Linked DNA regions of Danio rerio. The protein of the gene in region 2 purifies or fractionates together with the protein of the main gene of each other region. This does not show direct contact. Links are inferred from orthologs where the notes say so. Each region holds a gene or a part of one and is shown on either strand. Other genes may lie near its edges.

Evidence for each region.
Region 1: the proteins of marchf5 (region 2) and mfn1b purify together in Homo sapiens (affinity purification with western blotting; 4 studies listed by BioGRID, with this or other methods). This does not show direct contact. The link is inferred for Danio rerio from reciprocal best matches to the Homo sapiens genes MARCHF5 and MFN1.
Region 3: the proteins of marchf5 (region 2) and mfn2 purify together in Homo sapiens (affinity purification with mass spectrometry; 5 studies listed by BioGRID and IntAct, counting the BioPlex papers as one, with this or other methods). This does not show direct contact. The link is inferred for Danio rerio from reciprocal best matches to the Homo sapiens genes MARCHF5 and MFN2.
Region 4: the proteins of marchf5 (region 2) and dnm1l purify together in Homo sapiens (affinity purification with western blotting, with the first as the bait; 3 studies listed by BioGRID). This does not show direct contact. The link is inferred for Danio rerio from reciprocal best matches to the Homo sapiens genes MARCHF5 and DNM1L.

Annotation. Positions count from the first base shown.
Region 1 is NC_133186.1:46,709,649-46,715,455, reverse strand, and holds part of mfn1b (mitofusin-1b), read left to right. Parts: intron 1-1,529; coding exon 1,530-1,692; intron 1,693-1,912; coding exon 1,913-2,037; intron 2,038-2,264; coding exon 2,265-2,373; intron 2,374-4,950; coding exon 4,951-5,058; intron 5,059-5,807. UniProt on the Homo sapiens protein: Mitochondrial outer membrane GTPase that mediates mitochondrial clustering and fusion. Membrane clustering requires GTPase activity. It may involve a major rearrangement of the coiled coil domains.
Region 2 is NC_133188.1:45,977,263-45,983,680, reverse strand, and holds the start of marchf5 (E3 ubiquitin-protein ligase MARCHF5), read left to right. Parts: upstream 1-2,942; 5' UTR 2,943-3,238; coding exon 3,239-3,282; exon of another isoform or gene 3,283-3,527; intron 3,528-6,418. UniProt on the Homo sapiens protein: Mitochondrial E3 ubiquitin-protein ligase that plays a crucial role in the control of mitochondrial morphology by acting as a positive regulator of mitochondrial fission and as an important regulator of immune response.
Region 3 is NC_133183.1:57,628,252-57,634,561, forward strand, and holds the start of mfn2 (mitofusin-2), read left to right. Parts: upstream 1-2,304; 5' UTR 2,305-2,342; exon of another isoform or gene 2,343-3,630; intron 3,631-6,310. UniProt on the Homo sapiens protein: Mitochondrial outer membrane GTPase that mediates mitochondrial clustering and fusion. Mitochondria are highly dynamic organelles, and their morphology is determined by the equilibrium between mitochondrial fusion and fission events.
Region 4 is NC_133200.1:21,485,639-21,491,445, forward strand, and holds part of dnm1l (dynamin-1-like protein), read right to left. Parts: intron 5,015-5,807; coding exon 4,859-5,014; intron 4,277-4,858; coding exon 4,187-4,276; intron 4,087-4,186; coding exon 3,994-4,086; intron 3,909-3,993; coding exon 3,855-3,908; intron 3,659-3,854; coding exon of another isoform or gene 3,587-3,658; intron 1,120-3,586; coding exon 961-1,119; intron 1-960. UniProt on the Homo sapiens protein: Functions in mitochondrial and peroxisomal division.

The DNA.
Region 1 (5,807 bases), on a different chromosome or scaffold from region 2:
ATTATCTCAACTATCATTGACTGATTAAATTAAATTCGGATTTACACTGATTTTTGCATAGCTTCTGAGTGTACAACACCTTTTTTTCTGCTCTTTTAATGGTGCCTGGGTCATTTTCTATATAAGTATGTTGATTGGAAATATACATAATATTATGTAGAATGTAAGATTACAATGACCATCAGGACATTTTTTTAAACAATTAGCAAAAGACATTTTTGGATTCATACTTTTATTGACATTGTGTATATGGAAATGTCCACTCCTCGCATCCACGATGCAAGAGAGGACACCATCTGACTTTGGGCGCAAACTTTGGACAGACTTAAAGATTTACTAACTTGAATATATGAGACATCAAAAAGCATGAACTTCTAGTTCTTTTTTTCCCTCATTTATTATTTATTATCAATTTGTTTTATCATTATATTATTTATTTATCTTTATTTAATTTATTTTTATTTTCCTTTTTTTTTTTTTTTATCTCTTTTTATGGTAATGTAAGGTTTCCTGTTTGGGCTTCTAATAACTTTCATTGTCGTAGACCTTTTTCAACACAGTTTTAAATACCTCTATGTTTAAAAATCTGTGTGTTTGTATGCGTGTATATCTGTGTGTGTGTGTGAGTGACTGTGTGTGTGTGTGTGTGTGTGTGTGTGTTTGTTTGTTTGTATGTGTATATGTGTATGTTTATATATATATGTGTGTGTGTGTGTGTGTGTGTGTGTGTATATATATATATATATATATATATATATATATATATATATATAAATATGTATGTATATATATATATATGTATGTATATGTATTAATTTATTTTATTTGTCATTTTTATTTGCGTTAGTATGTCCTTGTCATTATTCTTCAGTTTTTCCTTTTTACTGACAATATTGTTGTCATGGCTGACACTATTATGGATACTATTATTTAACAACTTGTAGATTGGGTTATATATATGTATATCTACACATTTTGTTATATGCTGATTGTCTACGGCATGTTTTTCTGTGTTCAAAAAATACAAAATAAAAAAAATATTTGATGGAAAAAAAAAAACAATTAGCAAAAGACAAATAATAATAACAATATAAAATACAATAAACAACCCCCCACACATCCATACATTGTATAGTTGTCACAAAATGTTTCTCATAATGATATTACATAAAGATCACAATGGTTGAGGGTGATAATAAATAAAAACAATAATGTAATTTTTTATGTCAACAATAATTATATTTAAAAAATATGATAAAACATTGACTTTAAATAATAACAAAAAATAAGACAAAATAACAACTACAAAAACCCATACAAAAACAATAACAATAACAATAATTAAATGAAATAATCAATTATTAAAGTCTAACAGAGGTAATGTGTCAATAAAAGGGGCCCTAAATACAGTCAAGGTTTGTGAGCTTTTGTCTGACCGAATATAATATGGTGCCCTGGTCATTTGTAACCTATAAGTCAACATGAGAGTTAATAAATGTTATAATTATCCTCTGTTCGCTGTTTTCTAGAACAAGCAATGGTAAAAGCACCGTCATCAACGCTATGCTGCGTGACCGTGTGCTGCCCAGCGGCATCGGACACACGACTAACTGCTTTCTGAGTGTGGAGGGAACAGATGAGGACAAGGCCTTTCTGAAGACTGAAGGCTCCGAGGAGGAGAAAAGCATCAAGGTACGAGAGACGTTTATTACTTTCTAAACACTAGGCATGGGACGATAACCGGATTCAAGGATTACCGTGTTGTGGAGAAGGCATGGTTTTAAAACTGAAAACTTTATTATTATTATTATTTTTTACGTGTTAACAAATTTGAAAACTGCAATAAAAACCTAAATGAAACATGTTGTTTAACATTTGTAAAGATCATGTCAGATGTGTTTTTCCTCCACAGACAGTAAATCAGCTGGCTCACGCTCTGCATATGGACGAGAGTCTGGACGCCGGCTGTCTGGTCAAAGTTTTCTGGCCCAAAACGAAGTGTGCTCTGCTCAGAGACGACCTGGTTCTGGTGGACAGGTACATTTCAGTGCTCTCAAAATGCTGCTAATATGAGATAATATTAGGTATCATAGTGAATGTTGATACTTGAATCACAGTCAAAATGGTTTGCTCTCATGTTAAATTTTAATTCTGTTAACAATAAGTGCTGCTTAAAGTAGATTTTTTTCCAAGCAGTTTTAAACCTAATATTTTCCTAATAACTAATTTTCTAATAACTAAAATATATTGAACTTCTCTTTCAGTCCTGGAACTGACGTGACCACAGAGCTGGACAGCTGGATTGATAAGTTCTGTCTGGACGCTGATGTGTTTGTGTTGGTGGCGAACTCTGAATCCACACTAATGAACACGGTGAGCTGTGCACTGGATTATGCTGATCCGAGTGTGTGCTAGTGCTGCACCACACTGGAGAAAAGTACAGTATTGTTCTTGGGTTTTGCCATAACAATAGTTCTTGCAATATAATATTTACTGTTATACTATAGATTTATAGTTAACGCTAACTCTATCAAGCCTCTTCAGCTGCTTCAGAACGCAGCAGCACGAGTGGTCTTTAATGAACCTTAAAGAGCACATGTCACTCCGCTGCTCATCCGTTTGCACTGGCTGCCAGTTGCTGCTCACATCAAATTGAAAGCTCTGATGTTTGCTTACAAAGCGACTTCGGGCTTTGCTCCTTCTTATCTGCTCTCACTTCTGCAGATCTATGTGCCCTCCAGAAACTTGTGTTCTGTGAATGAACGTCGCCTCGTGGTTCCATCCCAAAGAGGGAAGAAATCACTTTCCCGAACTCTCGCATTCAATCTGCCCAGTTGGTGGAATGAACTCCTGAACTGCATCAGAACAGCAGAGTCACTCGCTGTCTTCAAGAAACGACTAAAAACTCAACTATTTAGTCTCCACTTCTCTTCCTAATCTGCAATTCCCTCTCTGACTCCTCCACTAACTTAAAAAAAAATAAAAATTACTAACATTTTGCTTCTTACACTTTCTTTACACACCTAAAACTTGCCTACAGCACTTATTCATTGTTGCTCTTATAGTTGTGTAAATTGCTTCCTTGTCCTCATTTGTGAGTCGCTTTGGATAAAAGCGTCTGCTAAATGACTAAATGTAATGTTACTATACTATAGAACATAGGTCTCAAACTGGATTCCTGGAGGGCCGCAGCTCTGCACAGTTTTGCTCCAACCCTGATCAAACACAGCTGATCCAAATAATGAAGGTGTCCATGACTCTTTGAACGCCTCGAATATTAGGATCAGCTTTGTTTGATAGGGTTGGATCCTAACTGTGCAGAGCTGCGGCCCTCCAGGAATTCAGTTTGAGACCTGTACGCTATAAAATATTATAACACAATATACTATAGAATATTATAACATCATAGCACATTATATGTGTAAATATAAGTATAAACGTTTGCATATGTTTGAAAATTGGTAATATTTAAATACTAGGACAGCATTGAAGTGCTAGAAATGTTTGTAAATGCACCTGGAGAGTGCTTGAAAAGAAATTTGACTTTGGAAAAGGTGTCAGAATCCTGTAATAATTAACTATGTGGAAACGGTCAAGCACTGTCACCTAAAGTCATACATGAATTGGAAAATATCATTTATACTGAAGCTTTTTACGAAAGTCCCCCGAGAGAGGCCCTGAGAGAGGCACTGAAGCATCCTGGGATAGCATGCATGCCTCAGTGGGTAAAGCAGAGTTCAGTGTGTGCGTGTGTGTGCGTGTGCGTGTGTGTGTGTGCGTGTGCGTGTGTGTGTGTGTGTGTGTGTGTGTGTGTGTGTGTGTGTGTGTGTGTGTGTGTGTGTGTGTGTGTGTGTGTGTGTGTGGATAACGCAGCTCTGCATTCCTCTGACCGGCATGCAACCAAACACTGAGCAAACCCTCCCGCTGCTACACATACCCATATTAGCACACACACACATGCACACACTTCATGCCATGTGACATCATTACTCAATATGCAATATGACGATGTTGAAGTCAGTATTTTTTGTTAAACATAATTTAATTTTTGTTCTTTACAAAAGAGTTCCTAAGTGCTGTTTAAAGGGCTGGTCCACTACAATACCATATGTTAAACTTTAGTTGATGTGTAATGTAGCTGTGTGAACATAAACAAAATCTTTGAATGTAGACAGTAAAAGTTCAATGCAAAGGACATCATTGTTTTTACATAATTAATATTATTTGATTTATTTAACGTGATGCTTGCCTGATTTAGCACATTCCTTTAGTCCTGTCTTTATTTCTTCATGCTCAGTACTGATTTAATGCTCTAGTTCAATGGTTCTCAAAGTGGGGGTCGGGACCCCCCGAGGGGTCGCGGGACAATGAAGGGGGGTCGCCTGGTGGTTTCCAAAAATCTATTTATATTTTTTAAACCATAAGAATTACCATATTTTATCCATAACCTTCTGAAAAGAAAAAAATAGTCGTTTATACTATATATAGTTACTATAGTAGCTTATAGTTACTACTTCTATTGGATTGCAACCCCTGGGGTAATTGCATTGTATTAAAGACACAGCAATAGCGTCAGATGCAGCAGATTTCATAACACCTGGTTAAACTTTATTGCCCATTTACAGCTCTCATACATAAAAAAAATTAAAAGAAGAATAGACTTGGGTCCATTGGTGTGTGTGTGTGTGCCATTGCATGCAAGGTTTCTGTATTTATAACCACCTCAGAGGATATTGGGGGTCACGAGTCACTGGCATTGTCATTTTGGGGGTCGCGGCCTGAAAAGTTTGGGAACCCCTGCTCTAGTTTATTACTCCTGAACAGCTGATCAGATAAGACTGAATACCTGTGTGTTGTATTTACACTGACTGTGTGTGTGTGTGTTCAGTAGAGTGTTTCCACTACACAACCTTTAGTGACCCTCAACCTCATTATTATTTCTCTTTAAAGGAGAAGCATTTCTTCCACAAGGTCAATGAAAAACTTTCCAAGCCCAACATCTTCATCTTGAACAATCGCTGGGACGCTTCTGCTGCCGAACCCGAATACATGGAGGACGTGAGTTTATTTAAATTACTATGGATGTTGTAGATTTAAAGGGGAGCTTTTATGCAGAAAGCACTTTTATGGCTCGTTTCCACTGACTGGTACGGTACGGTTACGGTAGTTCCACTACCAAGGGTATTTTGGTGGGCGTGGTGTATGACAAAGTTTCAGTCAACGTCATTTTCACTCGAGGAAATGTCGACAATAAAGCTGTACAAGTCACTCACATATCATATGAAAAGCACTTCTCACAAAACAGACGCTTTACACACATAAATACTTGTGTATAAAGGTTTATTACTAACATTTCTATGAACATGAGTTGATTATAACTGCAGATCAATAACAGTGCAAAATAGCCTACTGTAACGTCTGTAATTATATTAAATAAATGAACCTATATGAACACATACAGACCCTTACAGTCCCCGATATGTTACCAACTACAGAAGAACTACACACAGCAGACATTTCGTCCTTTATTGGGTTCCAAACAACACAAAGTATAGCCTACAGTCAGAGTAAACCTCTCATCTGTGTCTGTAATCTTCAGCAGCACATGTAGCCTCTGTTAGAGAGTCATTCCATCATTCCCAGTTCATAATAGTCCAAAAGGTGATGATAATAATTAAAACAAGGCAGTTTGTTCACGTTTGCTGAAGAAATAACGTGCTACTTGGCTTCCCCTTTTTTTCCGCGCTCCACTTTCGCGTTTGTCCTTTTCTTTCTGCATGTGTCACTCTTGCGTTTGTCAGCGTCTC
Region 2 (6,418 bases):
AAAAACATTCCCATGAAAAACAGGCCGAGAATGCGACAGTTTCAGCGAGCTTGATTGATTTATGAACTCAACCTTTAATCAATTTTAATCAGAACAGACGATCGTAACAAGATGAAGAGCGTTTCTGCAAAATACTCCGTCAGTTAATCCTCGTTTTGCTGCATTAGAGCTGCATATTCAAGGTCATTACAGAAATCATCACATCAGAGAACGCGCTGACCACCTAAATGACAGCAAATCAGACTGCTTTATACCTTCACAGCACATGCACGAACATGATAATGCATTGCTAAAATGCACCGGATAATTGGAAAGGGAAAGAAACCAAATCCAACACTCCAATCCGCCGCACACAACTCATTTGTAGCTATTTTTAAACACAACATGCATCTGATGGCTTGACATTTTTTCCCGTTTGCTTTCGTTTTTCCTGCTGTACATGAATGAGACTTTACCTTATCGTTCAGCTTTTGGGACTCTGTAAATAAGGCTATTTCTGTTTGTCTCGCCTGGGTTTTGATATGACAGATGAGCTGCCCTTCTGCAGTCGCCTCAACAGCTGATTGACTGCGGCGCATGGCTGATGCACCGAGGGATTGTGGGAATTGTAGTTTTTCGGGCGGAACAGCCGTCAAATTCACTGTGACATGTTGTGAAGCTTATGATTGGCAGGCAAAATTGGGGATTTGTTGTGAAGCTTATAATGGAATAATATGCAAATCACGGTAGTGTTTTAGGTTTCATTTCAAATGCATAGTGGTCCCAGTGCTTCTAAATGTATAATTTTAAGTCATAATAAAAAAAAAAAAAAAAAACAAATAAAATGCTTTTATGCGTTTTGGCTAAAATCTAAATTTTAACTCGATTACGATTAATGAACAATTATTATTTTATTTATTTTTTGACCTCATAGTTCACTGACAGGTTTTGTACAGTAAATATGCTCACATATTACAGGTGAGGGATTTTTTTAATGAAAGTTACATTACTTGACTTTATAATAATTGAAAGAAACACACACTATGTACTATCAATGATTGTTTATTGCGCATCAACATTGAACAAAGTAAACTAAAACACCCATTGCCTAAAATGAGCAGTCACTTTTTAAATAACTTGCACTTTTGGAAAAAATAAATTATTTTCAATGTTTTTCATAATAAAAGTAGAAGGTATAAAGGCTATAGTGTATTATTGTATGCGACCGCATGAAGGCTGCGTCTGACCATATGAGTGCGCTCGATGCAGCAGTATAAATCAGCCAGAGCGGGGTCACATGACTCCACGCGTGATAGGGAAAGTAAGCGAAAAAATTTGACCTGGAAAATTAGATCGATTATAGGTTCTAAATGTCGATTTCGATTACTTTTCTATTCATTTTATACATTAATCAGATTTTTTTTAGATTTCTTTGAGTACATCTTAATAGCATGTAATATGGTTAATTGTGCAGTGATGTTTTGCATGATGTTATGCTGAAACTACCCAAGAACATTTCAATTTTATAACACAATATTTACGCTTTTATTGAACTTTTGAATGTTGAAATTTGTTTATTGAATATCAAATCAAAGATCAAAATAAACACAATAAAAAAGATTGGATTGCAGCTGTTGTTTACATCAAACAACAGCTGAAATCAGATCTTTTTTGTGTTTATTTTGATATTTGATTATCAAAATAAACACAGTAGGTGATTTTGATTATGAAAATAAACAAAACAATCTAACGGCAATTTGTAACTTTTTGATTTAGTGACTAAATCGTATGAAGTAGTACGATCTAATTCGTACATTTTTTGTACGATTTGCTCATCCCCCAATGACAATTGGGTTTAGGGGTGGGGTTAGGTGCCACGCCTCCTTTTTGAAAACGTACAATTTTGTACGAACGAACTAGTTCGTACGAATTAGCCACAAAACCGACAAAACGAAAAATACATGTTCTCGTGAGATCAGGCTGAAATAAACACAGTAAAGTGGCCGAATGCAATGTTAGCATTACGTTAATGTTCACTGCAGCCTGGCGATTGCATCTCTATTTTTAAATATAATACTATAGTACATTTTTTACTCGATAACTAGTACGTGGATTCATGTAAATATATATGGCAGAAGAAGGAGGGTTTGTAATGCAGCAGAATTTTTCCATTTTATAACCCAAACTTACTTGAGTATGTTTAATCTGGTTATTAAATATCAATTCAAATATCAAAATAAACACAATTAAAAGCATACAAAGCCAACATTAATTTAATAGAGATTTATTTTAAAAATGCAATGATCTCTCTCAGATATCTCTGCATTAAATACTAAACGAACACTCATTAATACTAATACAGAGATTATTTATTATGTATTATTGTTTTTTAATCACAAGTAACCAACTGGGTTTTTCTTATTGTATTTAAAGCTATTCACATGGGTCAAATGTGAGGTGTACATTCCTTATAGAGAACAGTGCAGTAAATATGCTACAGTGAATTTACAGAAATATAGCCTAGCTAAAGAGGCATATTAATGCTTGACATCAAAACACTATATGTTATATACAATGTGTATACACTGTATATTTATATAGCATATCAAAACACATCAGCAATAAACAAACACTATAATTCCAAAGGTATGTGCTATATGAAATGAATCAAGCCCTCACTAATCACATGTATTATTATTACTGAATCCCTTTCAGTAAGCAGTTAAATAAAACATGCATTCCAGTCATTTTTAAGTTGTGCTGAAATATGTTCACTCTCCTTACCACAGTACGAGGTATTCTGAAGCCAAATATGTATCTTCATGTTGCTCCAGCAGGCGTAGTCTCTCTTGCTCTGGGCTGCCTGCCTCTGCGAGAACATAAATTTTTATATTTTTGGCTACATGGAATAAAGACTACACGTCCCAGAATGCACTTGCGGTCTCGCGATTCCGAAGTTAACGCTCGCACAAGCGCGGTGCCGCGTCCGCTCGCGTTTTCTCACGCGCAGTCAATGGAGTCACTGCGTGTTTCTGGAAATACTGGCATTTATGAATATTCATTAACAGATCGGTTTATATTAATTGATCTCAATGGTCTATGATCGGATTTCAGCTGTCGTTTGATGTCAGTAAGGTAGCCATATGCGTTGTTAGCATCGCGTTAGCGTTCACTGCGGCCTGACGGTTGAATCTCTATTATTAAGATAATACTAAAGTATTTTTTTTACTCGATAACTAGTGCGTGGACTCATGTAAATATGGCAGAAGAAGGAGCGGTTGTAATGCAGCAGATCGTGGACAGGTAAGTGAAAGAAACAAATGTAAACAAACGGCTAATGCCAGCTATGTCGACCTGTCAAAGCTTCATATAGAGGTATTAACATTCGTAATCGCATATATAAGTAATCCTAACGAATAATAAGAGTGTCTAAGGAGAGATTGTTTGCAGGTTTAACGTTAGAGCGATTCTGCTTTTGCAAAGAGATGCTAATTGTGTTACTTGCATGATGTGACGTCTTTGGCGAGGGGGCGTGACCTTGAGTTGGCATTTTAATTTTGTTTTGATTTAGATTTGCTCCTTTGTTTATATATTTTAAATCCTTATGGTCATCCATAACCTCATATGTATATCAGCCCTGTACTAAATGTATTTTTAAAACACTAATAGCATACTGTTTTTGTGTCAAGTTTGTATTTTAAATTTTGCATAAACTAATAGTAAATAACAGTAATTTTTGACTATGTCTACATATTAGATTATAATGCTGCGTTTCCTTTGCATAAATGAAATTTATGGGTCTATATTATACAGACAGTACCTTAAATGTTTATATGGCTTAAGTGTATTTGCCATTTTGTGTGTGTGTGTGTATATATATATATATATATATATATATATATATATATATATATATATATATATATATATATATATTAGTATATGAGCTATGAAGTAGATTAAATTCAATTTTTAAACTTCTGGTTATGTAAATTCAAATTGGCAGAATTCTTGCTTAAGTACACTCGCCGGCCACTTTATTAGGTTGTCCTGTCCAACTGCTTGTTAACGCATATTTTTAATCAACGAAACACATGGCAGCAACTGATGCAAATGCAATCAGGCATGTAGACATGGTCAAGAAGATCTGCTGCAGTTCAAACCGAGCATCAGAATGGGAAAGAATGGTGATTTGAGTGACTTTGAACGTGTCATGGTTGTTGGTGCCAGACGGGCTGGTCTGAGTATTTCAGAAACTGCTGATCTACTGGGATTTTCACGCACAACCATCTCTAGGGTTTACAGAGAATTGTCTGCAAAAGAGAAAATATCCAGTAAGCGGCAAGTCTGTGGGCACAAATGCCTTGTTGATGCCAGAGGTCAGAGGAGAATGGCGAGACTGGTTCCAGCTGATAGAATGACAACAGTAACTCAATTAACCACTCGTTACAAAACAATCAGTTATGAAGAAGAGCATCTCTAAACACAAAACGCATCCAACCTTGAGGCGAATGGGCTACAGCAGCAGATGATCTCACTGGGTGCCACTCCTGTCAGCTAAGAACAGGAAAATGAAGCTACCGTTTGCACAGACTCACTAAAAATGGACAATAGAAGATTGGAAAAGCGTTGCTTGGTCTGATGAGACTCGATTTCTGCTGGGACGTTTGGATGGTTTGGTCAGAATTAATTGGCATCAACAATATGAAAGCATGGATCCATCCTGTCTTGTATCAACAGTTCAGGCTAGTGTTGGTGGTGTAATGGTGTGGGGGATATTTTCGTGGCACACTTTGTGCCCATTAATACCAAGTGAGCATCGTGTCAACGCCACAGCCTACCTGAGTATTGTTACTGACCATGTCCATCCCTCCACAGTGTACACATCTTCTGATGGCTACTTCCAGCAGGATAACGTGCCATGTCATAAAGCGCAGATCATCTCAGACTGGTTTCCTGAATGTGACAATGCGTTCACTGTACTCAAATGGCCTCCACAGTCACCAGATCTCAATCTAATAGAGCTATTTTGGGATGTGGTGGAACAGGAAATTCGCATCCTGAATGTACAGTCAACAAATCTGTAGCAACTGCGTGATGCTGTCATGTCAATATGGACCAAAATCTCGGAGGAATATTTCCATTACCTTGTTGAGTCAATGCCACGAAGGATTAAAAAGGCAAAAGGAGGTCCAACCCGATACTAGTAAGGTGTACCTAATAAAGTGGCCGGTGAGTGAATGTTGTATGATAATGTTGACTTTAGAATATGCTCATCATTACATTACCGGTTTACTTTGCTCTTCAAAGTGTTCAGTGAGTTGATTCATGTGTTAATCAACACTACAGCACAGCTTACCTTGTTCTGACCTCAGAATATTCCTTTAATAGTAAAACAGCTTAAGTCATAAGAGGCTTGATTGCCTGTTTGATCTGACTCGCACACCTGCTCAGGTCAGTAGATGCTTTCGGGACGGTTCAGGGTAAAAAAAGCTCTTGCCGTGAGTATCTGGAGATTTTCTTTTAATGAACCCATAAAGAGGACAGCGTGCCCTGGAGAAGTTTATAGTGACACTGTTGTTGTGCATTGACCCTCAGGGGTCATAAATAAACAGTACATCGCCTCTTCCCTGTAATTGCAGATTTTCTAAATATAGGAGCATTTGTTGGGTAAATGACGTGGACAAAATCTGACTTCAGTAATTATTCATTGGGTCAAGCTGTTTGGTGTTCTGACCTTGTCTATGTTTTTTTCCACTGAGACTGTGCTGTTTGCCACATAGGGCCAGGCAGTGCTTGCAAAATAAGCGAGATTACTGCACTGGCCTGCTGATGAGGCACAGTCCAGCAGACCTGTCAACGGCAGTCTTAAGGCCAATTCACACTGTACCGACAGAAACCGACAAACGTGAACAATCATCAGATAAACGCATGTCATTTCTCAGACATTCTCTACACACTGACAAGCAACGATTCAGCAAGTTAAGCCAACGGAAAAAGCCTGGCGTGCTACTTTTATTTGTTAGCGGAAAGATGCTAGGAGCTTTGATGTGTTGGTAAAGGCCTAAAATAATAGTTTTATGCAGCATGCAACAACTAGACCAAACGTGACCGTAAATACATTTGATTTGATTTATTTTATTTTTAAAAATCATACACTTTAAACAATTCTTTAAACAAAATACATTTCATCATGATTGAAATAAAGCGGGATGAAGCGCAAGCTTATAATTTCCTCACCCCATTACCACATCTTTCCACATCATTCGTCTATTACTTCAACTGATTTCTTACATTTTTACATATAACATTATATTAGATACTTTTAATGTTGTTTTTGGTATTCACTATATTCGCTTTTTCACTCAGAGTTGACTTCTTTTCAACTCCGAGCGCACGGTGTGCAACAGCAAAAATGCGAGGCGCAGCAGGCGGTTAA
Region 3 (6,310 bases), on a different chromosome or scaffold from region 2:
TTTCTGAATACGCCAGTGTGTATATATTTCCCATGTTTGTTTTTTTTGATAATTTTTTCTGACTGATGAATGTTGAAAGCATTTTGACAGATCGCTATGCAATGCCGTTTTACTCATTTATTTATTGTCATGTATCGAAGGGATTTTTTTTCCCCATACAGATGACTTCTACGTTGTAACTGTCTTTGCTTTGACATTCACAAGTTTGAGGTTTTTTTTTTTTTGATGCCACTCAAGCAATCGGTGCTGACGTTTGAAAACAGTGTGTGGTTTGTTTTCTAACTGCTTGATGTTGCTTGTTTTGAGATTCATCTTAATGGATTCATCATCATGTCACAATTTATGGAGGAAAACACAATAAAACTGAAAAGAAAAAAAGATTGTTGGACCTGATAGAAATGTGATATTTGGCAATAAAGGCAAATTACATGTGTGACATACATGTTCAGGGGCGACACGGTGGCTTAGTGGTTAGCACTGCAAGAAGGTCACTGATTTTAGTTCTGGATGGGTCAGTTGGCATTTCTGTGTGCATGTTCTCCCCATGTTCTCGTGGGTTTCCTCCGGGTGCTCCGATTTTCCTCCACAGCCTAAAGACATGCGCTAAATATAGGTGAATTGAATAAGCTAAACTGGCCGTAGTGTATAAATGTGAATGCGAGAGTGTATGGGTGTTTCCCAGTGCCCGGTTGCAGCTGGGAGGGCATCCGCTGTGTAAAACAAATGCTGGATAAGTTCATTCCGCTGTGGCGACCCCTGATAAATAAAGGGACTAACCTGAAGGGAAATTAATTAATAAACTAAACTGTTCGTACTGTGTGTGTGTGTGTGTTTTCCAGTACGGAAGGGCATCCGCTGTGTAAAACATATGCTAGATAAGTTGGCGGTTCATTCCGCTGTGGCAACCCCTGATAAATAAGGGACTAAGCCGAAGGGAAATTAATCAATTAATTAATAAACTAAACTGGCCGTAGTGTGTGTGTGTGTGTGTGTATTTCCCAGAACTGGGATGCAGCTGGAAGAACATCCGCGGTGTATGCTGGATAAGTTGGCGGTTCATTCCGTTGTGGCCACCCCTGATAAATAAAGGGACTAAGCCAAAGGGAAATAAATGAATTAATTAATAAACTAAACTGGCCGTAGTGTATGTGTGTGTGTAAATGAGTGTGTATGGGTGTTTCCCAGAACTGTGTTGCAGCTAGAAAGAACATTCGCTGTGTAAAACGTGCTAGATAAGTTGCCGGTTCATTCCACTGTGGTGAAACTTGATAAATAAAGGGACTAAGCCAAAGAGAAATTAAGGAAATAATAAACTAAATTGGCCGTAGTGTGTGTGTGTGTGTGTGTGTGTGTGTGTGTGGGAATGAGGGTGTGTGTGAATGAGTGTTTCCTAGTACTGGGTTGCAGCTGGAAGGGCATTCGCTGTGTAAAACACATGCTGGACAAGTTAGCGGTTTATTCCACTGTGGTGACCCCTGATGAACAAAGGGACTAAGCCGAAAGGAAGTGATTAAACATACACGTTCATCTTTGGATTTCACATATTTAAAATATGTCATAAATGCCACATATATTATGAAATATTGCAAAAATGGCCGCTTTTAATCATTTTCAATCATTCGAATTTTAAATATATGTTAGAATATATTAGCTATAATGTTGTATATGTGTTCATATAAACAATGATAAGTATAAGGACATACATAATTAAATTTGGGAAAACCGTTACCTTTTTTTGACTTTTGAACGCAGTTCCATGTTTGTTTTTCCTTACTGCAACATGCATGTAAAGAATGTCGACAAAAATCTGAGGGCTGTAAAAATCCCAGAAAAGCATCTGGAAACTCATCCTTCAAGATGTTTTGTTATGAACTACTGAGCGCCCGGAGCGACGCAGTGGCGTTTCTTTGTCGAGTTTGCATGTTCTTCCTGCGTTCGCATGGGTTTTCCCCGGCTACTAGGCTAAATTGTCCGTAGTGTATGAGTGTGTGTGTGAATGAGTGTGTGTGGATGTTTCCCAGAAATGGGTTGCGACTGGAGGGGCATCCACTGCGTAAAAACGTGCTGGATAAGTTGGCGGTTCATTCCACTGTGGTGACCCTTGATAAAAAAGGGACTAAGCGAAAAAAAAAAACGAAAAGAAAATGAACGAATGAATACTGAGCGCCCTCGCGTGGAGCAAAAAACAACAACAACAAACGTCGCATGTACATGACGTAATACATCTACCCGCCGTTGGAAGCTAATGCTAAGATAATGGCGACCAAATAATCACTCCGCTCTTATGTAACGTTAGATATGGAATACCTTGCTAAGTACGGATATTTATACTGAACGTAAAGGTAAATACTCATCACATTTATTCACAAATTATGCTTCTTACGTGAAGATAATGGAAGCACTGCTTTCACACCCACTTTTGATGGTCAAACGCTTATGAGCAGTTCGTTAGGGTTAGGCGTTGTTGCGGGTCTTGTTTCGGTTTCGCTTATCCTGTAAATGCTTTAACAAAAGCTGTGATCTGGAAAGCTCTTCCAGAGGAGGATTTCATTAATATATGTTGCGATGACATCGCTGGATCAACATGCTTGAGGATTGTCATAAGATATAATACATCCTACGTTCCTACTGGTAAACATATTTGCTTATAAAATCAACTGTATTGACTTATATGTGAAGATGTTGCTGTGCACGTCAGGTTTGTAGTTTAAAAATGTCCTTTAATTTCGTGCTGGTAACGTTAATGTTAGAAAAGACACTCAACGTTACATAAGTGAAAGGTATGATTATGTGAATGTTTCATCTGATTGCAGCGTTTCGAGGTTGTAAAGATATATAGATTATATATCATTACTTTTTAAATGCATGAATATTGAGGAATAAATAATAAACATTTGCTCTTGACAGCTAAATTGTCAAGTGGGTCCGCCTTCTTTTTTCTAAACCAATCAGAATCGCTAGTCTCACGTCAATCTAACTGCGTATTCGGAATTGCTCGAATATGACTGGCTGAATTGTCTTTGGGGCGGGATTATTAAGAATGATGCAATTTGTCTCATTCAGAGAGATAAAAATTACTGGTATAGATATATATAAAAAATGAAATCTTAAATATGATATACTAATGCGATTACACGGTACGCATTGTTTAAATATACATAATTTATCTGTTACGTTGTACGCATTCCAGCTTGGTGGATCAATCACGTGGTCACGCCGCCCGGTCTAGTGTAGTGGAGGATTGCAGTGGGTTTGGGGCAGTCGAGGGTTGCCGCTTGTGTCTGTGACATTGAGCTCGAGAAAAAGTCCTGTCGGAGCTATGACTCGGATACTAGAGTGTTTAAAATCATTAAAGCTAGAATAAAGACATTATATTCACATTTAACGTCGTTTAAGTTGTTTAACGCGTTAGTTTCTGTCTGGAGAAGAAGTGGGTTGGTGTCGCCTCGTGGAAGTCGTGACTGTGATGTTAGTGTGGGTTATGGATTATAAAATGTTCATAAAACATTGTAAACTCTCTACATTGAGTTTACATCTTAAGTGACCGGACACCTCTAGATCAAATGCTGGGAAGCTGATCCAGCTTATTCGATCTTCTCTATTTATATAAGCTGTTACACACACTGCCAGGTAAGACTTGCTATTTTATTATCATTAAAGTACGTGTTTAATCTTAATTGATCGGTTGTTGCCTGCTAAAATACATGTTTTTTTTCTTGGAACGTTTTAATAGCTAATGATATCTCTGTTAATTAGCAGCAAGATGTTAGAAAATTAAAAGGAATAGTTCACCCAAAATGAAAACTGTCATCATTTAATGTTAACCTAGTAGGACATTCTGAAACACTTAATGTGAAAAAAGCTTAACGTGGCTCAATGTACCTAAACATCAACCAGAGAAACCCAAATTTCTGTCAAACGTTACCTGTAATTTAGAGGTAAATTTGGTTTTATATTAGGATATTCAGACTTTCTCCTTAATAATATAATTTCAGGAAAGTATTGTTTGCCAATTCTAAATAGGGAAATCATATGAGCAGCAAATGACTATTAAAGTACAAAATTGTTTACAGTAAATTAGTGTTAATGTTGTTTACAAGTCATACTTGCATGCTAATTCGGATCGAAAATTCAAAGTAACATATTAAACAATATAGAGACTGCTAAATGAACAAATGTGTGAATTTAAAACCAACTTTACCTGTATACTTGTAATTAACCCCAACTACTGTAAAAAAAAAAAAAAAAATAAAAAAAAATAAAGTCCTAATTCAAAGATAAAGTGAAAAACATCACGTTAAGCATTTTCTCCCATATTGAAGTCTTTTATAAGGACAACGCTCAACAAGTGGGAAAAATACAATTTCTATTAAATTTTATACGTGACTAGGGATGGGTATTGTTAAGGTTTTAACGATAGTACTACTTTAATCGATACCACTTATAGGTTCGATACTTTAACGGTTCTCTTATCGGTATATTTTGTTGTGTTTTTTTTTTGTACAAAATCAAATTGAACATAATTAAAACCCTATATATTATTATTACGTTTTTATTGTAAAATAAAATGAAACCAATAATTGTAAAACAAATAAATAGATAAAAATCCTGTAAAAGAATGTACAATAGATTGAAGGAAAATGACTGTCAGTTTTTAAACTGGAGAAAAATCAACATGTTTGCCTTTTCTGGCAGAAGTCGGGACCTTTCTTGCCTTGTCAATCTTCACTAGTTCCAAACAGGTTTGAGTTTCTTCTTTTGATAACAGAAGATATTTTAAATAAAAAAGCTGAAAACCTGTAACCATTGACTTCTATAGTAGTCATTTTTCCTACATTGTAAAAATGCTGAGTTACACACAATCATCATGTCCTCCCAACACAAATTGGTTAATTTAACTTGAAGGTTTTTACAATTTTAAGTTGATTGGACATTACACAATTAAGTTGTCCCAAAAAATCCTCAAGAATAGTGTTATGTCAGATAATTTAAATTAGTTAAAACAAGCAGCAAAATATAAATTTTTAAGTGATTGAGGTAAAGTTTTTTTTTTTTTAATATTTCGCATATTAAATTAGTGATTTCGCATAGTCAATTATGCTCCCTATGTTGTTTGCCATGGTACTTTGAATATTCAGTCTGAAATTACATGCAAGTATAACTTGAAAACAACATTAGCACTATTTATTTGACAGTGAACAGTTATATTTTGACATTTATTGGCTGCTAATATGATTCACTATTTAGAATTTTGCAAATAATATTTTTTTGAAATTATAATATTAAGGAGAAAGTATAAATTTGAGAATATAAAACCAACTTTATCTCACTAAATGACAATAGTCATCATTTAATGTTAACTTGGTCAATCTCCACTAGTTCCAAACACGTTTAAGTTTCTTCTTTTGAAAACAGAAGATATTTTAAGTTAAAAAAAAAGCTGAAAACCTGTAACCATTGACATGTATAGTATTCGTTTTTCTTATATTGTAAAAATGCTTGGTTACACACAATCCTAATGTCCTCCCAACAAAAATCGGTTAATTTAACTTGATTTTTTGCAGTTTTAAGTTGATTGGACATAACACAATTAAGTTGTCCCCAAAATCCCTCAAGAATAGTGTTATGTCAGATAATCTAAAATGAGTTAGAACAAGCAGCAAAAATATTTGTTTTTTAAAGCGTACTACGACAGTCAAGCTTCAAAATATAATTTATTTTTTTTATTACCTAATACAGGTTTAAAACCATAAGTGTAAAAATGTGAATGTTTTTATTGTGGTGAACTATCCCTTTAATCATTTGGATTTGTTTAAATGATTAGACATTGTGTGAGAAGGTTAGTGTGTGTACACTATAGCAATGTTTCTCAACTGGTGGGTCGTGACCCAAAAGTGGGTCGCGGGAACATTTTCAGTGGGTCGCGGAGTGTGTCGTCAAAAAAACAACAAAATTTTATTTTATAACTTATTATGTGAGACTTATTATGTGAGCTTATATCAGACTTTTATTTTGAAATCCATGTGCGACAACTGAACTTTTCCTTACCCTAACCACTGTTTACAGTATTTGACGTTTTTACTCTGTAATATTACTATAATTTGATGCATTTTGTTAAATGACAGCAATAAAGTATTGTTTTTTGTAAGCCTTGGTGATTTTCCTATGATTTATCTGTCACTACTTGTGTAGGTTAACAAATAAATACAAATGATTTATAATTCCTAAAATTATATTATAGTTCCTGAAAATTTGCACTTTCACTTTCCACATGTAATATATGGGTAGTTGCCATGAAATTTCAGATCTA
Region 4 (5,807 bases), on a different chromosome or scaffold from region 2:
ATTGTTTACTTGCTACATCACATCAGTTTTTGATCTAGTACTCTGATTCATAATGGATTAACCAATCAGAGTGCTCTCTGTTACATATATAAATTCTAGATGCTGTATCTGGCCAATTCGATCCGACAGTAACTACGAGAGGCAACCTATGGAACACACTAAACCAACTAGCCAGATTGATGTAAAATGATGGCCTGACAAACCCAATGGCCGACCGTCAGCTTGGTGTGCCCGTCTCTTAAAACACCAAGCCAGAAAAACAGCAATGACAAAACAAAATCCTCTGGATTAAGAAGTTTTTCCATTTTGGACCACTGTAAAAATACAATGTCGCAACAACTTTCATGCAAAAGTACTCATGTAAGTGTCAATGTAAATGAACTGTAAATATAGAGGAATTATTAGCCCGCCTGTAATTTTCATCATCTAGTTTTCTGTTTAACAGAAAGAACATATTTCTAAACATAATAGTTTTAATAAATAATTTCTAATAGCTGATTCTTTCATCTTTGCCATGATGACAATACATAATATTTGACTAGATATTTTTCAAGATACTAGTATTCAGCTTAAAGAGACATTTAAAGTCTTAACTAGGTTAGTTAGGCAGGTTAGGGTAATTAGGCAAGTCATTGTGTGACAGTGGTTTGTTCTCTAGACAGTCAAAAAGTATTGCTTAAGGGGGCTAATAGTATTAAAAACTGTTTTAATCTAGCCGAATAATAAGACTTTCTCCAGAAGAAAACATTATAGGAAATACTGTGAAAATTTCCTTGCTCAGTTAAACATCATTTGGAAAATATTTGAAAAGGACAACAAAAATTCACAGGAGGGCTAATAATATTGACTTCAACTGTATGTAGATAGAAAGCTGTGTTACCAGAAACACTTGTAAGTGCTCAGACTACAGTAGAAAAAAAACATAATTGTTTATCATGGATGTCACCCATCCTTACTCACCACATCGAGAAGGTTCACCGCGTGCCCCTTCTGAGGGCTGGCTGGAATAGAGCTTTGTAGTTTGGTCTTTTCCTCACCCTGGCCTTCATCTCCCTTCTTCAACATACCTCTCCAGGTCCCTGTTCCTCCTTCCTGCTCCGCTTGAGCTCCTCCAGCCATCTGATACACACAAACAAGAACAAGACACTACTGTACAGTGCCCACTAGTGTTTTACAGTATATACCACGCCATGCAGTCCATTGGTGTTTTATGCATTCATGTTAGATGTGAAATATATCGAACAGCCAAATAAATGATCTAAGTTCATGTAATCAATGGTTTTTCATTATCAAAAGTGTAAAGACAGAATAAACCGAGAGCGCATGGAGGATACATTTACGCTAGTGTGTTTTTGTTGTTAATTGAACTTTTAGCATACTTTCAAGTTTTTCAATCCTCAAATGTAGAGACATTTGGAAATGCTGAAGAGCTTGTTTTCATTTGCATTTCAGTGAAAGAATGGATTCAAAACACTGGTTCTTATGTTTATAGTCAAACATATTGTGCACTCTGTCATTTTAAATTTGCTTGTGAAAGGGCAGGACTTGCAAAGTTTCGAGAAAAGTGTCATATTTTGGCAACAGAACTACTGAAATTTGAAACGGGTTTGCAGAGTACTAAGAATACAACCGACTATGCTGTTAACGGTCACATTTTGTAAAAGAGTTCTTTAAGTTAATGTGTTTACAAACATGAACAATTAATGTTCATTTCAACAATTATTCATTTTCTTTTCCGCTTAGTCCCATATTAATCAGGGGTCGCCACAGTGGAATGAATGGCCAACCTATCCAGCTTTTGTTTTACGCAGCAGATGCTCTTTAAGCTGCAACCCATCACTGGGAAAGACCCATACATTCTTGCATTCACAGTTGCAAACAGTTATTCATGATGTAGTGTTTTTATACAGTCTGTGAAAAAGTGTTTGCCCCGTTATTGATTCCTTATTTTTATCTCGGCATAATGTCTATTTTTTGAGGATCATGGGGTCTACTTCATTTTGTCAGAAAGGTCCTGTTTGAATGTTTCTAGATTGCAAACAGGTGTAGTAGTAATTAGGTCTGAATATAGCTTGAGAAATTGAATTTGGGTGTGATAAATTTACGTTTCCAGAGTTTTAATGGGGTGCCAAATTCTTTTGCACACTATTAATACACTATTTTGTATTTTGTTTGCCCTTATTAACACAAACTTAATTTCAAAACTGCATGTGTTTACTTGTGTTATATTTATATATATAAATTTTATATAATATATATATATATATATTAATATATATATAATATTAATATATATACATAAATATTATATATATAAATTATATAAATTATATACACACACACACACACACATATATATGTATACATATATATGTATACACACACACACACACACACACACACGGCAAGGCAGTAGCGCAGTAGATAGTGCTGTCGCCAAACAGCAAGAAGGTCACTGGTTCAAACCTCGGCTCAGTTGGCGTTTCTGTGTGGAGTTTGCATGTTCTCCCTGCTTTCCCGTGTGTTTCCTCCGGGTGCTCCGGCTTCCCCCACAGTCCAAAGACATGAGGTACAGGTGAATTGGGTAGGCTAAATTGTCCGTAGTGTATGAGTGTGTGGATGTTTCCCAGAGATGGGTTGCGGCTGGAAGGGCATCCGCTACGTTAAAAACTTGCTGGATAAGTTGGCGGTTCACTCTGCTGTGGCGACCCCGGATTAATAAAAGGACTAAGCCAAAAAGAAAATGAATTAATAAAACACATACACACACACACACACACACACACACACACACACACACACACAAACACACACACACACACACACACACACACACACACACACACACACACACACACACACACACACACACACACACACACACACACACACACACACACACACACACACACACACACACACACACACACACACACACACACACACACACACACATACATATATATAATTGAAGTCAGAATTATTAGTCCCCGTCTATTTTTTCCCCTGCTTCTGCTTAATGGAGAGAGGTTTTTTTTTCAACACATTTTTAAACATAATAGTTTTAATAACTCATTTCTAATAACTGATTTATTTTATCTTTGCCAAGATAACAGTAAATAATATTTTACTTTATATTTTTCAAGACTCTTCTACAGTTTAAAGTGACATTTAAAGGCTTAACTAGGTTAATTAGGCAGGTTAGTAAATAGTAAAAAAAAATCGTTTGGTTGCAGGCATGGTCGCCAAATTCTTAGAAATGACACCAATACAATAGAGGTCACATACTTACAGTGTGTTAAAGTATCCGGACGCATTAGTTCACACATAAAACACCAATTCGGGCCACAAACTGAAAAGACACAACTGCAAAATTACACTTGCAGTTGCAGAGGGTCTTCAAGTAAACTCAGCAAACACACAACAGAGGTTTGAGAAAGTCCTGATCAGTAAAACCAAAACTGCCCAGCAAAAGCATCATCTGCTGTCAGTTTAGTGGTTTGCGATCATGCAGTTGGGGATTATAAGAGTTTGATTAAAAAATCAACTCCATGCTTTGCCCCTCCACACAGGGGGCGAAACACACCTTAGGGCCATCGCCCTCAGCAGACGGTTGATCAGTGGGTGACATTGACTGCCCACCAGGACCTTTTAAAGACTACAGAGAGACACAGGAAGACAAGAAACTAGTCACCTAAAGAGGAAAGCAGCAGGTTTTAGACTAACTCTGAGAAAAAAGTAAAGGAAAAAGAAGCAAGGTTTTTTTTTTAACTAAAAAACTAAATAGCAGAGGTGGGCAGTCACATTTTTCCTGTAAGAAAACACAATACTTAATATTAACCTAAATTTCATACCTTATCACGAGGCACAGAAGTAGGAAGCTCTCTCATTCGGTTACGTCTCTGCTCCTGTTATGAAAATAATTTTTACAATGAAAATATTTTTCATTTGGTATTTTTTAGCCAAAACATCATCATGAAAATGTCTGTAAACCTCAATGTTGTTGTTCATGAGTCCACAAGCATCAGCAAAGTCTGGGTGTTTGGTGTTGATATAAGCCAACTCGATTGCCACAAGATTGTGAACCTGGAACAGAGTGCAAATGCGGCTTTGGAGAAGAAATATATGCACTTAAGCTGCACAATAATGCCTCAAATAATAAAGAGAACATGAGAAAGACACAAACCATCTCATTGGTGACTGGGAGCCTCTTCCGGAGCAGAGATGTGACCACTTCTACTATGGCATCGTGGAGCTTTGGAAACCTAAGCAACTCCTGAACAAAAATTAAAGAGAAAATTATTTAAATATAGCTTTATGATCTTAGCATAGCTTAAAAAACCTTAAACAAATTATATTTCTTGATGTAAACATCTTGTGTAAGCCCACACAGAATCCTCCGATTTTTTGCCCATCATCGAGCATTTATTTACTTGTGTAAATTTATATTTATTCAGTTTTTAAATTAATTTCATAAAATGTTCATAAGATTTATTTACAATAAAGTTTGTAAAGTAATATATTACTTATAAGTAATATACAAGTCTTTTAGTAGACATATTATATGGGACTTGCTTTGTTTACCAAATAAATGGATCTAATTGGATTTGCATTGTTAATATGAAATAAAACGTTAAAAAGGTGCTTTTTTTCACGCTTTTAGTTATGATACCCCCCAAATCATTACTGCATAAATCTGCATATTTTTTACTAAATTATCAGCAGAAATAGCAAAAAATGTCAGCAGATTCTGTTTGGCCTGTGCTACATAACAAGCTGTAAAAGAATAGCAGTGAAAAACAAATTCTGTGAGGGAAAAATAGAACATTGAAGCGCTCATCCAATGTGTGCAGTGTACCTGAGTGCTGTAGTTGCTGCAGTGCTGAATGATCCTCTGCATCTCCTCGTGCACCAGCTCCACACAGCGCAGACTGGGCTCCTCCAGACGCTTCACCTGCCTCTTCACCAGCAGCTCGAACGACACCTCAGGCACGAATAGAGCAGGACGCGGACCCTGAACAAACACAACACCTACATTATCAACCACACAAACACTGCCCTCACCTTGCAACCTACAGCATTTGAAAGACCTGATAATAATGTCCACCACAAGGCACCTTCACGGGTCCCACAGTAAATTAGACAGAGGTTTCATAATACTTTTGACTTATCTGTGTACATCTGACATTGCTGTGCATCTTCCAATATGCCGCCACACAAGAGCCTGTTTAAGTCACTCTAATATTTAAAAGACTCTCAGAGGACTTGTGCTAAAATAGAAAGCTGCAGTCTTTCAGCTGATCATGGCACAACACAGGGCACTGCAGAGTCTACAGCAATGTTTCCATCAGCTTATTTTTGGATTATCACATAAAAAATGCTTGATGAAGACACCAAGATGAGCATAGTTTTGAAAATATGCTTTTTTTTAATGGCAATTTTAAAATGTATGCACATCTTGGCATCTCTGTCAAGCATTTTATGCGATAATCCAAAAATAAGTAGGTAGTAAAAGGAGTAGGATAAACTTGCACATAAACTACAATGGAAAGACATATAACGGGAAAAAAATCCAGTATGCACATTAAATATCATATGATTTTGTTATTAGAGATCATGTGATGATAAAAATGTGTGTGATGGGATGCATTAATGGATGAACCAGTGGACCCACCATGTCGCAAAATATTTAAAATATTGTTTTGGTCATTCAAAAATGGCTTAGACTTTTCAGTATTAGTATTATATTAATATCCTCCCAAACTGTCTTAAAGGGTATGCGTCTAAACCCACCAAATACCATCATG